3 linked regions of the Xenopus tropicalis genome follow. The protein of the gene in region 1 interacts with the protein of each later gene in a pairwise test. Links are inferred from orthologs where the notes say so. Each region holds a gene or a part of one and is shown in the gene's direction. Other genes may lie near its edges. The genes, in order: trim23, usp20 and hoxb5.

Evidence for each region.
Region 2: the proteins of trim23 (region 1) and usp20 interact in binary tests that used the Homo sapiens proteins (3 or more experiments, as listed by UniProt). The link is inferred for Xenopus tropicalis from reciprocal best matches to the Homo sapiens genes TRIM23 and USP20.
Region 3: the proteins of trim23 (region 1) and hoxb5 interact in binary tests that used the Homo sapiens proteins (3 or more experiments, as listed by UniProt). The two-hybrid records come from large-scale screens. The link is inferred for Xenopus tropicalis from reciprocal best matches to the Homo sapiens genes TRIM23 and HOXB5.

What each region holds. Positions count from the first base shown.
Region 1 is NC_030677.2:187,787,016-187,790,773, forward strand, and holds the start of trim23 (E3 ubiquitin-protein ligase TRIM23), read left to right. Parts: upstream 1-1,303; 5' UTR 1,304-1,769; coding exon 1,770-1,859; intron 1,860-3,287; coding exon 3,288-3,450; intron 3,451-3,758. Other genes in the region: trappc13 (trafficking protein particle complex subunit 13), read right to left, coding at 1,170-1,215.
Region 2 is NC_030684.2:22,435,512-22,439,269, forward strand, and holds the start of usp20 (ubiquitin carboxyl-terminal hydrolase 20), read left to right. Parts: upstream 1-1,470; 5' UTR 1,471-1,486; coding exon 1,487-1,609; intron 1,610-3,758. Other genes in the region: uncharacterized protein C9orf78 homolog, read right to left, coding at 1,331-1,416.
Region 3 is NC_030686.2:12,061,395-12,064,787, reverse strand, and holds hoxb5 (homeobox protein Hox-B5), read left to right. Parts: upstream 1-849; 5' UTR 850-894; coding exon 895-1,423; intron 1,424-2,016; coding exon 2,017-2,264; 3' UTR 2,265-2,856; downstream 2,857-3,393. UniProt on the Homo sapiens protein: Sequence-specific transcription factor which is part of a developmental regulatory system that provides cells with specific positional identities on the anterior-posterior axis.

The sequences.
Region 1 (3,758 bases):
CTTATATTCCAAGCCACTAAATTGATCAGAAAAATCTTCTTAAAGCACTTATGGGAAAAAATGTTTTGCTTTACATCTATCAATGTCTGATTATTAGAGAACTCCTATCTAGATTCTATGGGGAAAATCTCTTTCCTCTCGTCTCTACCACTTAATCCTGAATGTAACTGTATTTTGTATTATATTTCATTGTACTGACCTGCCTGTTCCATTAATGTTAGTTAATTTGGCATTGTGTGTGCCATTAATTTGTTTTGCTGCACAGCTCTGCTTGCACAAGGTTCACTTTACAATGCTGTTTGTTGCACCCCTTACACGTATATGCATAAATTGGCCCCCGTGTAATGTTTTAAAGCCCCAAAAGACCTAAATAATTACTACCTGATACCAGGGCTATTTATTACATCTACTGTAACTTTTGAATGACGCTGCTCTCAAAAAATAGTAGAACCCTTATATTTGTCAGCTGGATGAGCTCATCCTTGCTATTAACTTACTTTTAATTAGAACAAATGTTCCTTAATGATATATTCTTAATAAAAACCTGGTTTAGTTGAGATTACAGTTTATCTTTCCCATCACTGTTGGTACAGGTTGGTATGTCTATCATTTATCATGTCTATTAGTCAGCACAGAGTTTTTCTGTATTTCCAGCATTATTGTATTTTAGTTCCCCTGCTTGAGGATAATCATACAAAAATGTATTGTAACCGTTGTGGAGCCCACCAATGAGATCATGCCCAATTGGTTAATTCCATGCACTTTCTTTGTGTCCTATGGGCCCCCAACCTGCTCCAAACGCAAGCATAAGCAGGAGGGGGCCACTCAGCTATGGCAGACAATCTGAGTAACTGCTGCTTTGCAGAATAATCATTTGCACTAACTGCGCTGCCATGGGGTTACTGTAGCATCAATGGTTAAGAAGATCACTCAATGTGGCTACCATAATGGCAAGGGATGGAAGTAACTAGAAATGACAGGGCAAGGCAGGGCAGCCTCTTGCTTAGGTGCATAGTCTATGTACTCTGGAACAGAAGTGAGTGGGCCAGGACACCTATGGGAATGGCCAGTGCAGGAAAGCTCTGGCTCCTGTGCTACAGCTTGGGGCAGGCCGGGCTGACTCCCCAGTCAGGGCGCAGAGAACACACACCACAGCCTCACACTGATACCTTTCAGGGCCAACAAATGTTCCTGCTTGGGCTGATTGACGTCCATGGTGCCAGAACCGCCGTCACCACCCCTACACACACCCGGAACTGCCTGTACGGGAAGACGAAAGGGCCAGTTCTAGTAAAACAAAATGCGCATGCGCAGAGGCTTTTTCCGCTTCTCAGTTCTATTATTCACATTGCAACAGAGCCCTGCAAAACTTTTATTTCGACAAAAGCTGCAGAACCACAGAATCGCCGTCTCTGCTATCTATCATTTTGTTTTTGTTTCAGGGGAAAAATATGAGGGCACGTTTGCCAATGTTTAAGATGGCGCCTTATAGCGTTAGCTCCCATTTTTCTGAGGCAAGAGACTGAGTTGGGTTATAGCTATTGGGTGAAACCACTTTGCGGTTTCGCTAGTAATAGTTTTAAAAGCCTTTTGCTCAGTCGGTGGTGTCATACGGATTAGACTTCTCAGATTGCTACTGTTATGAACCTAAGTAGATATATTCATTGTTTTTTAAAACAGGGTTTATTCTTAAATAATGCCATTTTCAACACCAGGATTCACATGATTTCTCAACCCTCTACCCGAAGTGGTACGGTCCAGCTGTCAACATGGCTGTCGCTGTAAACAGACACGGCGGCCCTGGAAGAATGGAGGGCAGCGGACGGCAGAGCCGGACCGGTCCGGGGGGAGCAGTAAAGGTGATACTAGAGCAGGGTTACGGGAGAAGTGTATGCCGTGTAGTTTGGGCCCTGGTTTATCCCTGCAGGAGGGCCCCCCTGCGTCTGGCTATATGCATTCTCCTTCCTACATCATTTCGTTGCAGAGTGCAGGGAGGCTTTAGGGGAAAGGGCAGTTTCGGAGATGGGATACTCCTAGGGGGAAACAAAGCAGAAAGGGCCTATTATATTGTGCTAGAGAGGAAGCTGCGGGGCCCAGACACTGAGTGATAAGCAATTCCAGTATATACTTATGTACAATAACTCTTAAACTTTAGGGGGGGGGGGGGTAATATGAATTTGCTGCGGGGCCCAGACACTGAGTGATAAGCAATTCCAGTATATACTTATGTACAATAACTCTTAAACTTTAGGGGGGGGGGGGGTAATATGAATTTGCTGCGGGGCCCAGACACTGAGTGATAAGCAATTCCAGTATATACTTATGTACAATAACTCTTAAACTTTAGGGGGGGGGGGGGTAATATGAATTTGCTGCGGGGCCCAGACACTGAGTGATAAGCAATTCCAGTATATACTTATGTACAATAACTCTTAAACTTTAGGGGGGGGTAATATGAATTTGCTGTGGGGCCCAGACACTGAGTGATAAGCAATTCCAGTATATACTTATGTACAATAACTCTTAAACTTTAGGGGGGGGGGGGGGGGGTAATATGAATTTGCTGTGGGGCCCAGACACCTCTAGTTATGCCACTGACATTAGCTATGGGCAGCCTTAGAGCTCTTTGTTCTTGTTGTACTGCACCTCCATACATTGGCTAGTAGGGCTATTGAGAGTTCTAGCAGAACAACAACTGGAGGGCTGCAGGTTAAACATCCCTAATATATTATATATACATATATTAATCCCCTTCATCAGACTCCAGGCTTTCTGCATTGCAAGCTACCCACCCCCCTTTAACTCCAGCCCTGGCTGTATGGATAAGTGTAAATGTCCTATACAGGGTTGTCTTTCAACTTTCCTATGCGTTTTAACTCCCAATGAACTACAACTCCCAGCATGCAAAGTCAGCTAGATGTAGGAAGCATATGGATAATACCCAATGGCAGCTATTGATATTCCATACCCACATCTGCAAAGGCAATAAGCCTATTGTATGTATTTATAACTTTATTTTTATATTGCTGCAAGGATACATAGCACTGTATCATTTTAAGAGAAAATGCTGCTTTAATTTATCTTAAACCTTATTAGCACCACCCAGCCTTTCCACTTCCACAGGCAGCTTTCCTGGGCTGTTCAGGAGGAGCAGTGGTCCCCAGCCTGATCTTTAGCAAGCAAATGATACATCCAGCAACATGGTTGCATCCTCGTAACTTTCAGACTGATATATTTAAATGTCTCTCCACAATGTAACCTTTCCACAATTGTTTAATCAACACTAGGTTCTGGAATGTGGTGTCTGTGAAGATGTCTTTTCACTGCAAGGAGATAAAGTTCCACGTTTGCTGCTTTGCGGCCATACTGTGTGCCATGACTGTCTAACACGCCTGCCTCTTCATGGCAGAGCCATACGCTGTCCATTTGACAGACAAGCTACTGAACTAGGTATTAAAGAATTCATTTTTTACTTTACTAAGCAATAGTATTATGTAATGTATTTAAGGTCTCTATAACACAAGGATTTTGATAGCTGTTACCTGCTGCAGATTGCTTCCCATTTGCTTCAAGTTGCTCTGCACTAGCTGCTCTCTCTTGCAACAAATAGATACTGGGTGACCCACTGCTCTCAAACAGGCCCAGACTGGGATTTATAATAGGCAGCTGCCCCTCTGGCATTTGCCAGAATCCACAGATTGCCAGTCTGGGTGTGCTTTAGAAACTCTGGGAACAGCCCATCTTTTGAGAATCTCTCC
Region 2 (3,758 bases), on another chromosome or scaffold:
GGGGATTTTAACCTTGAAAGCAAGAAAGTTGCAGGTAAAACTTAGTCCCTTGGCTAAATGTATATTGAAGCAGTAGAATTCTTAATGAATCGCATAAGTCAGTGTAGGAACTGGTCAAAAGGGATGACTTTGACCCAGTTGGCCAGCTTGAAGTATATTGCAATATATGGACAAACAATCCCTGTTTTGCTTAAAGGGAAGGGCATTTCTTAGTAGCTTAAATGCACTGAATGTCTTAATGTCCTATATATTGATAATGGGTGAGTGCAGAGGATCTCTTGTTGTTGTTTCTATATATATATATATGTATATGTATATGTATATGTATATGTATATATATATATATATGTATATGTATATGTATATGTATATGTATATATATATATATATATATATATATCTTTATTTATAAAGCGCTACTTATGTACGCAGTGCTGTACAGTAGAATACATTAATACAAACAGGGTATTAATAAGAGAATAATATATAATAAAATATATATATATATATATATATATATTTTTTATTTTTTTTTTTTTTTACTACAATAAAGGCTACTTTTTTAAATGATTCCCGGTGTGCACCAATATTCACTAGATTTTTTATTTTTAATGCTTAATTGGTAGCACATGGGTCTTTTGACCACGCTTAGGAGTGCTGAATCTACATATGGTGTGTGTGTGTGTGTGTGTGTGCGCGCATTCCTCGGCCCACATGTGCTTGTTAAGTAAACACATTCTTGTACCCTGTATTGACTTACCAGACCACGCAGGGCCCCCCAGAGGGCATTACCCACCCTCCCCTCACAAACCAACACCCTGCCCCTCCCTTCCAGTGTCGGACTGGCCTACCAGGAAACTCCTGGTGGGCACAGGTGTCAGTGAGCCCTCCTGCTCCTACCATTTGGCCTACTTCACGGTCATACCCTATTGCTGAATGAAAACAAAGAAGAGAAATAGATGGAAGAATAGATATTGGCATGTAAATAAAAGAGACTAGCAGAGGTTGGTTGAGAAAAAAATAATTTGGAGAGTGAGCCGAGGGTCTAATGTTTTCTGGTGGGCCCCTGGGTCCCAGCCCGACACTGCTCACTTCCCCTATCTCTGCCCACTAACGCTCAGGTAGAACAGTGATGGGGAAGGGGGTTAGTTAGTTACACCTATAGAAAAAGCAGACCCCCAAGTCTGCCCTCCCAACAATGTGTTTATGGCTAATTGGTATCCATAGTAACGCGTTCTTGGAATAAAAAAAAGGCCTGAGGTAACGTTTCACACGAATACAACTTCGAGTATCCTCACTGTTGAGTCGCAGAAATATAACGAGAACCTACCTAACCTCCTGAGTTACTTCTTCAGCCTCCGCTTCTTCATCTGACGACGAGGCTTTACGCCTCCGAAAGTTTCTTCCCCCAGGCATCTTTCTCCCCGCTGCTGAACCCGGACACTACGGAATATGTAAACTTCCGGCGCGGTCTAATGATGTAATAATGCCAGTGAGAAGCTTCCGGATCTCCGCCCTTGCCTTGGCAGTGTGGGGCGGAGTTAGGAATCAGCAGTCAACAGCTGCGGTAACAGAGGTATCTGGCATCAGGCTGGCATGGCATAGGGAGGTAGGTTTGCTCCTGCACCCCGTATCCATGTACAAGCTCCATAACTACTAGAGGATTAATGTCTGTACAGGCAGGGGTTTAGCTTAGTGTAGCGGCAGGGGCCTGGGGGCAGTGCATCATATTAACCTTGCGTGTGTGTGTGTATGTATATACACACACACACACACACACACACACCTTCTCTGGCACCCCCAGGTATTATTTCTTCTCATGGTGTGCAGCTTACTAGCAACTTGTATCTCTCTCTCAATATAAATATATATATATAGGTAAAGAATGTCGGCACTCTTAGGATTTCCACAATAAGGCAAAAAAGTAAAGTTTTTTTTCAAATGCAAGCGGTGAGATTTATTGTTTCCAACGTTTCAGTCCTTTACTAGGACTTTCGTCAGGGAGTGCAATGTCTTTGCCTTCCTGCACTCCCTGACGAAAGTCCTAGTAAAGGACTGAAACGTTGGAAACAATAAATCTCACCGCTTGCATTTGAAAAAAAACTTTACTTTTTTGCCTTATTGTGGAAATCCTAAGAGTGCCGACATTCTTTACCTATCTACAGATTTTATAGCTCTGGCACCTAGGTTTACTCTCATTTTATGGTGTGCCTCCCACTCTGGACTGTATATATATATATATATATATATATATATATATACCTTTTTAAAGGTCCCAAAAGGGACCGAAACGTCAGTTGTACATGCAATTATAATACTATAATATTTGTTTGAACCACAAGACCCTTGGTGCTGGTTGTGTTTGATTTGGTATATATATATATATATATATATATATATATATATATATATATATATATATATATATATATATATATATATATATATATATATATATATATATGGGCAGACTGGTGTATATACACAGAGAAGCGCTGGGCACAGAGAAGGGGACAGACTGGTGTATATACACAGAGAAGCGCTGGGCACAGAGAAGGGGGCAGACTGGTGTATATACACAGAGAAGGGGACAGACTGGTGTATATACACAGAGAGGTGCTGGGCACAGAGAAAGGGCAGACTGGTGTATATACACAGAGAGGCGCTGGGCACAGCGTAGGGGGCAGACTGGTGTATATACACAGAGAGGTGCTAGGCACAGAGAAGGGGGCAGACTGCTGTATATACACAGTGAGGTGCTGGGCACAGAGAAGAAATTAGGCACTAGCTTGGATTTATGTAGAGAGAAGAGGGAAGCAGCTTGATATACTCCCAGGGGCACAGGCTGTTATACACTCAGAGAAGGAAACGCTAGAGACAGACTGAGAGTGTCACAAATTAAAATATAGACAAAATTGTGATGGGAATGGCCTGGTATTTACACTGAGAGGAGGTGGGCACAACCTGGTGTATGCACAGAGGATGGTACATGCCGATAAATACACAAGAGAGGGGCACAGAGAAGAGAGGCAGACTGGTGTATATACACAGAGAGGAGGTAGGCACAAGGTTACACATAGAGAGGAGAGGGGAGCAGGTTTATATATTCTCAGGGGCACAGGCTGGTATATACACAGAGAAGGAAACGGTAGAGACAAAGACAGTGGCACAAGCTGGAATATACACAAAAACAGTGATGGGCATGGCCTGGTATATACATAGGATTTGGGCAGATTCTGGTGTATGCACAGAGAAGGGGACAAGCTGGTATTTACAGAGAAGGGCACTGGATAGTATATAATAAAGCAGAAAGGCTGGTATTTGTACTAGGTAGGCAGTTGGTAGTATATATAGAACATATGATAGTGATTGTTGTATATCCTGCACAAGTGGGCCACAGGTGTGTATATAATATATATATTGTATAAAAAGAATGGTGTCAGCTGACATACAGGCTCAAATGTAGATAATGCCGGATCAGCGGAACCATATATGGATGAAGCTGAAGGGAAAGTGACTCATGCTGTGTATAAATTGCTGACTATTTTTTGCAATTAAATTGAGATTTCTGTGAGCAGCTGGCATTGTGCTTGGTATCTACGGGTAACCAGTTGCTGATGTATGCCATCCTCTGATATAATGGCATCATGATTGCGGCCTTGTACCGCGAATGGCTGAGGCTCTCACAAGTGGTCATGTGACCCTATTATCCTCATTCAGGTCTAACTGCTGTGCTTACAGTCTGCTGCCCAGGCCTC
Region 3 (3,393 bases), on another chromosome or scaffold:
GCTTTTATCGAGATATACACCCATATACATATATATATACATATATAGATAAATAAAGTCAGAAATGGAAATGCAAGAGTTTCCAGAAATCCCTGATCGTAATGGACACTGGCAATTTCATTCGATTCAATTAGTTTTTACCGGACAGATTTATTTTAGCTCAGTCCTTTGACATATTCTTTTGTTTTATATTACAACGTGCCTTCATAGCTACAAATCCTAGTCTTTTTGAACTCGCCCTAAAATATATTAGAATGAAAGAAATACAAGGCAGGGTTTAAAACAGACCGGAGTTCTTTTATTTTGCCCATAGCAATATTTTATTTTATGACGATTTAAGGGGACGCTAAAATAACGGTAACATGGAGCAGGCAGAGAACAACTATGGGTAAAGGAATAAATCGCTTACATGGTTTTGCTTTTACTTATTATTTGGGTGTTCTTTTAATACAAAAGCGACAATGTATAAATACACAGACAGTTTGAGTTCGGGGCTAAAGAGAAGCTAAAGAATATTTTCCTGGGTGTGTGATTTAGAGCTGCAGTTCCCCGAATTTCCGGTAGGTGTCGCGGTCTGCCAACATGGAGAGAACAGTTTTCCCCAGGATCATTTTTTTTTTTTGGAAGCTGTACATTGACTTGGGCCTAACGATTCTCAGATCGTCATTATTTGTAACCATAGAGCATGGATTACCTCTTGAGGTCATCAGTGAGAATTTACGACTGGTCAACAAAAGCACGTGATTTCCAAACGCACCCACACCCCCATATTTGGCCGCATACATAGCAAAAAGCAAGTACAGTGTATGGGGATAATTCATTAATACATCATAAATCGTGAGGCTCAGGGTGATCCACAAATCAAAGCCTCCCCCCCAAAAAAAAATCACCCAAATGAGTTCCTACTTTGTGAACTCGTTCTCAGGGCGCTATCCTAATGGCCCCGACTACCATGTGTTAAATTATGGGACTGGCAGCAGCAGCAATCTGAGCGGATCATACAGGGAGGCAGCAGGCAGCATGCAGCCCTCGGCTTATGGATATAACTACAATGGGATGGACCTGAGTGTGAGCCGGGCAGCAGCTTCCAGCAGCCACTATGGGGACAGCGCCTTCCCCGGGCAGGAGAGCAGGTTCAGGGCAAATCAGAGCTGCCCCCTGGCGACCCCCGACCCCCTGCCCTGTGCCAAAAGCCACAAAGACGAACTCTCCCCCACGGATCCTGCCACCTCCGCCGGCTCCAGCGCCCAATTCACAGAGGTAGAAGAAACCAGCGCCTCCTCGGAGACTGAGGAATCCAGCACCCCCCGGAGCAGCGCTCCCCCCCGGGCACTACAGGAGAACAGCTCCCCCGGAGCGGCCGGGACAGACGGACAGAACCCGCAGATCTTTCCCTGGATGAGAAAACTGCACATCAACCACGGTACCGCTGCTTTATTCCCCCCTTTCCCACTAAAGGTGCAGGGGGCTGAGAAAAACAAAGCTTTCCATAATACACCTTTACCCCCCCAAACACGATGCCAGGATTATTGGGTTGAACTCAGCCTAGTGATCAGACAGGCGAAATATAATATATATAATATACATTGTGGTACCAATGTTATGCCTACAGCTCTAGCTGCCTGATTTGTATAATATTATATATTAAATGTAAACCTTGGGAAAGTGATACGATATGAGATATTTTATTATCTGCTGATATTAAGTTTATGGGGCCTTTTATGTAGAACAGATAACAGGACAGTAAAATAGAATGTAACAGACAGGGTGTAATAGAGCAGCAGGGATGGGGTACAATGTATAGGGAGTCAGTAAAATAGAGTATATTATTCGGTGGATAAATGTTTTATATCAGTAACTGAATATAATGAGATAGAATTCGTTTTCATTAAGGGACATCATTAAGGAAGATATTGTCTTTCTAAAGAGGGGCTTGTGAGGGGCAAGGAGCAGGCAGGGGTGCTATGATCTCTATAATAACCCCCCCCCCAAAACCTTATTGTCCCCCCCATACAGACATGACAGGTCCGGATGGGAAGCGGGCCAGGACTGCCTACACCCGGTACCAGACGCTGGAGCTGGAGAAAGAGTTCCATTTCAATCGGTACCTGACCCGGAGGAGGAGGATCGAGATCGCCCATGCCTTGTGCCTGTCCGAGCGGCAGATTAAAATCTGGTTCCAGAACAGGAGGATGAAATGGAAAAAGGACAACAAGCTAAAAAGCATGAGCCTTGCGACAGGCAGCAGCGCTTTCCAGCCCTGAGGGCACCGTTGGCCGGGACTCTCTGCCTTGGGCACCTACAGGGCACTTGTCGGCATGTAAAGGGCACAGGACTGCACCCAGTCTCCCATTTCTAGTCGTCTCCCAATGCTCCCAGTAACGTCCTGATTGTTTTGTGACTGTGACACGATGCTGCTTCCGGAGGGAGATCGCATGTTTTCAGAGCTCTTAAATGTTATTATAACTTATTTATAATAAAAAATAAAAGAATTTCAGTTTTTTTTTTATGTTTACTGTTTTTACAATTTTTCGTTGTTGTTGTTTTGCTGTTTCAGGCCAGTTAGGCGGATCGATGCACTAAAAGGCTCGTCTTTTCTATTGTAAAGTCTGTGGTATTGGTCATCATTAGCCCCCCCAGTTTAATAGTAGCCCCCCTGCAAGGTGGCTGATGTCCCCACTAGACTGTAACTCGGTGTTTTGCTTTTTTTATTTTATTTTATTTTTTTCAAGTGACCAATCTAAAGGAGTGAGTGACTTTGTAATGTGTTTAAAGGTACCTGTCCTGTCTGGCTGCCTGAAGATTCCATTCTCCATTTTTGTATGAGTAGTAATAATAAAATATTAAGCTATAAAACACACGACTTGGTGCCCTTGTATTCGATTGCATGTTTGGGAAATGATTATTTGTAGCAGTGCGACAGTTGCAAAGAGAAGGTATCAAATCATGCTTTGTAGTCTGAACTGGGGGGGGGGGGGGGTCTCACAATCACAACAACATTAATTACAATTAGGGCAAACGAATTAGAGAGAAAGTTTAGTGGGAAACTTACCCCAGAGCAGAGTGAAGCCAAGGCATCCCCGTCCCCTTTGGTGATTTGGGCAAAGTAAAGCCCAAGTAGGTATGACATTTCCATGTCAAATGGATTGGGTTTTATGTAGAAGTTCCATGGTACAAATGGCCCAGACCTCAGGCTCAGACCCCCTCACTGGCTCGCAAAAGTCACGTGTGCTCCATAAAGTTAGTTTTATGGTTTTAGGGAGTTGACAATGTACAATATATTTCACAATCTCCAGAATGTTAAGTGACAGTTTAACTGGCTTGTGAGGGGACCGGCAGTGAGAGAGAGAGCAGTTTAGCAGATGCGACTGGGGCAGCAGGCAGTGCACAATC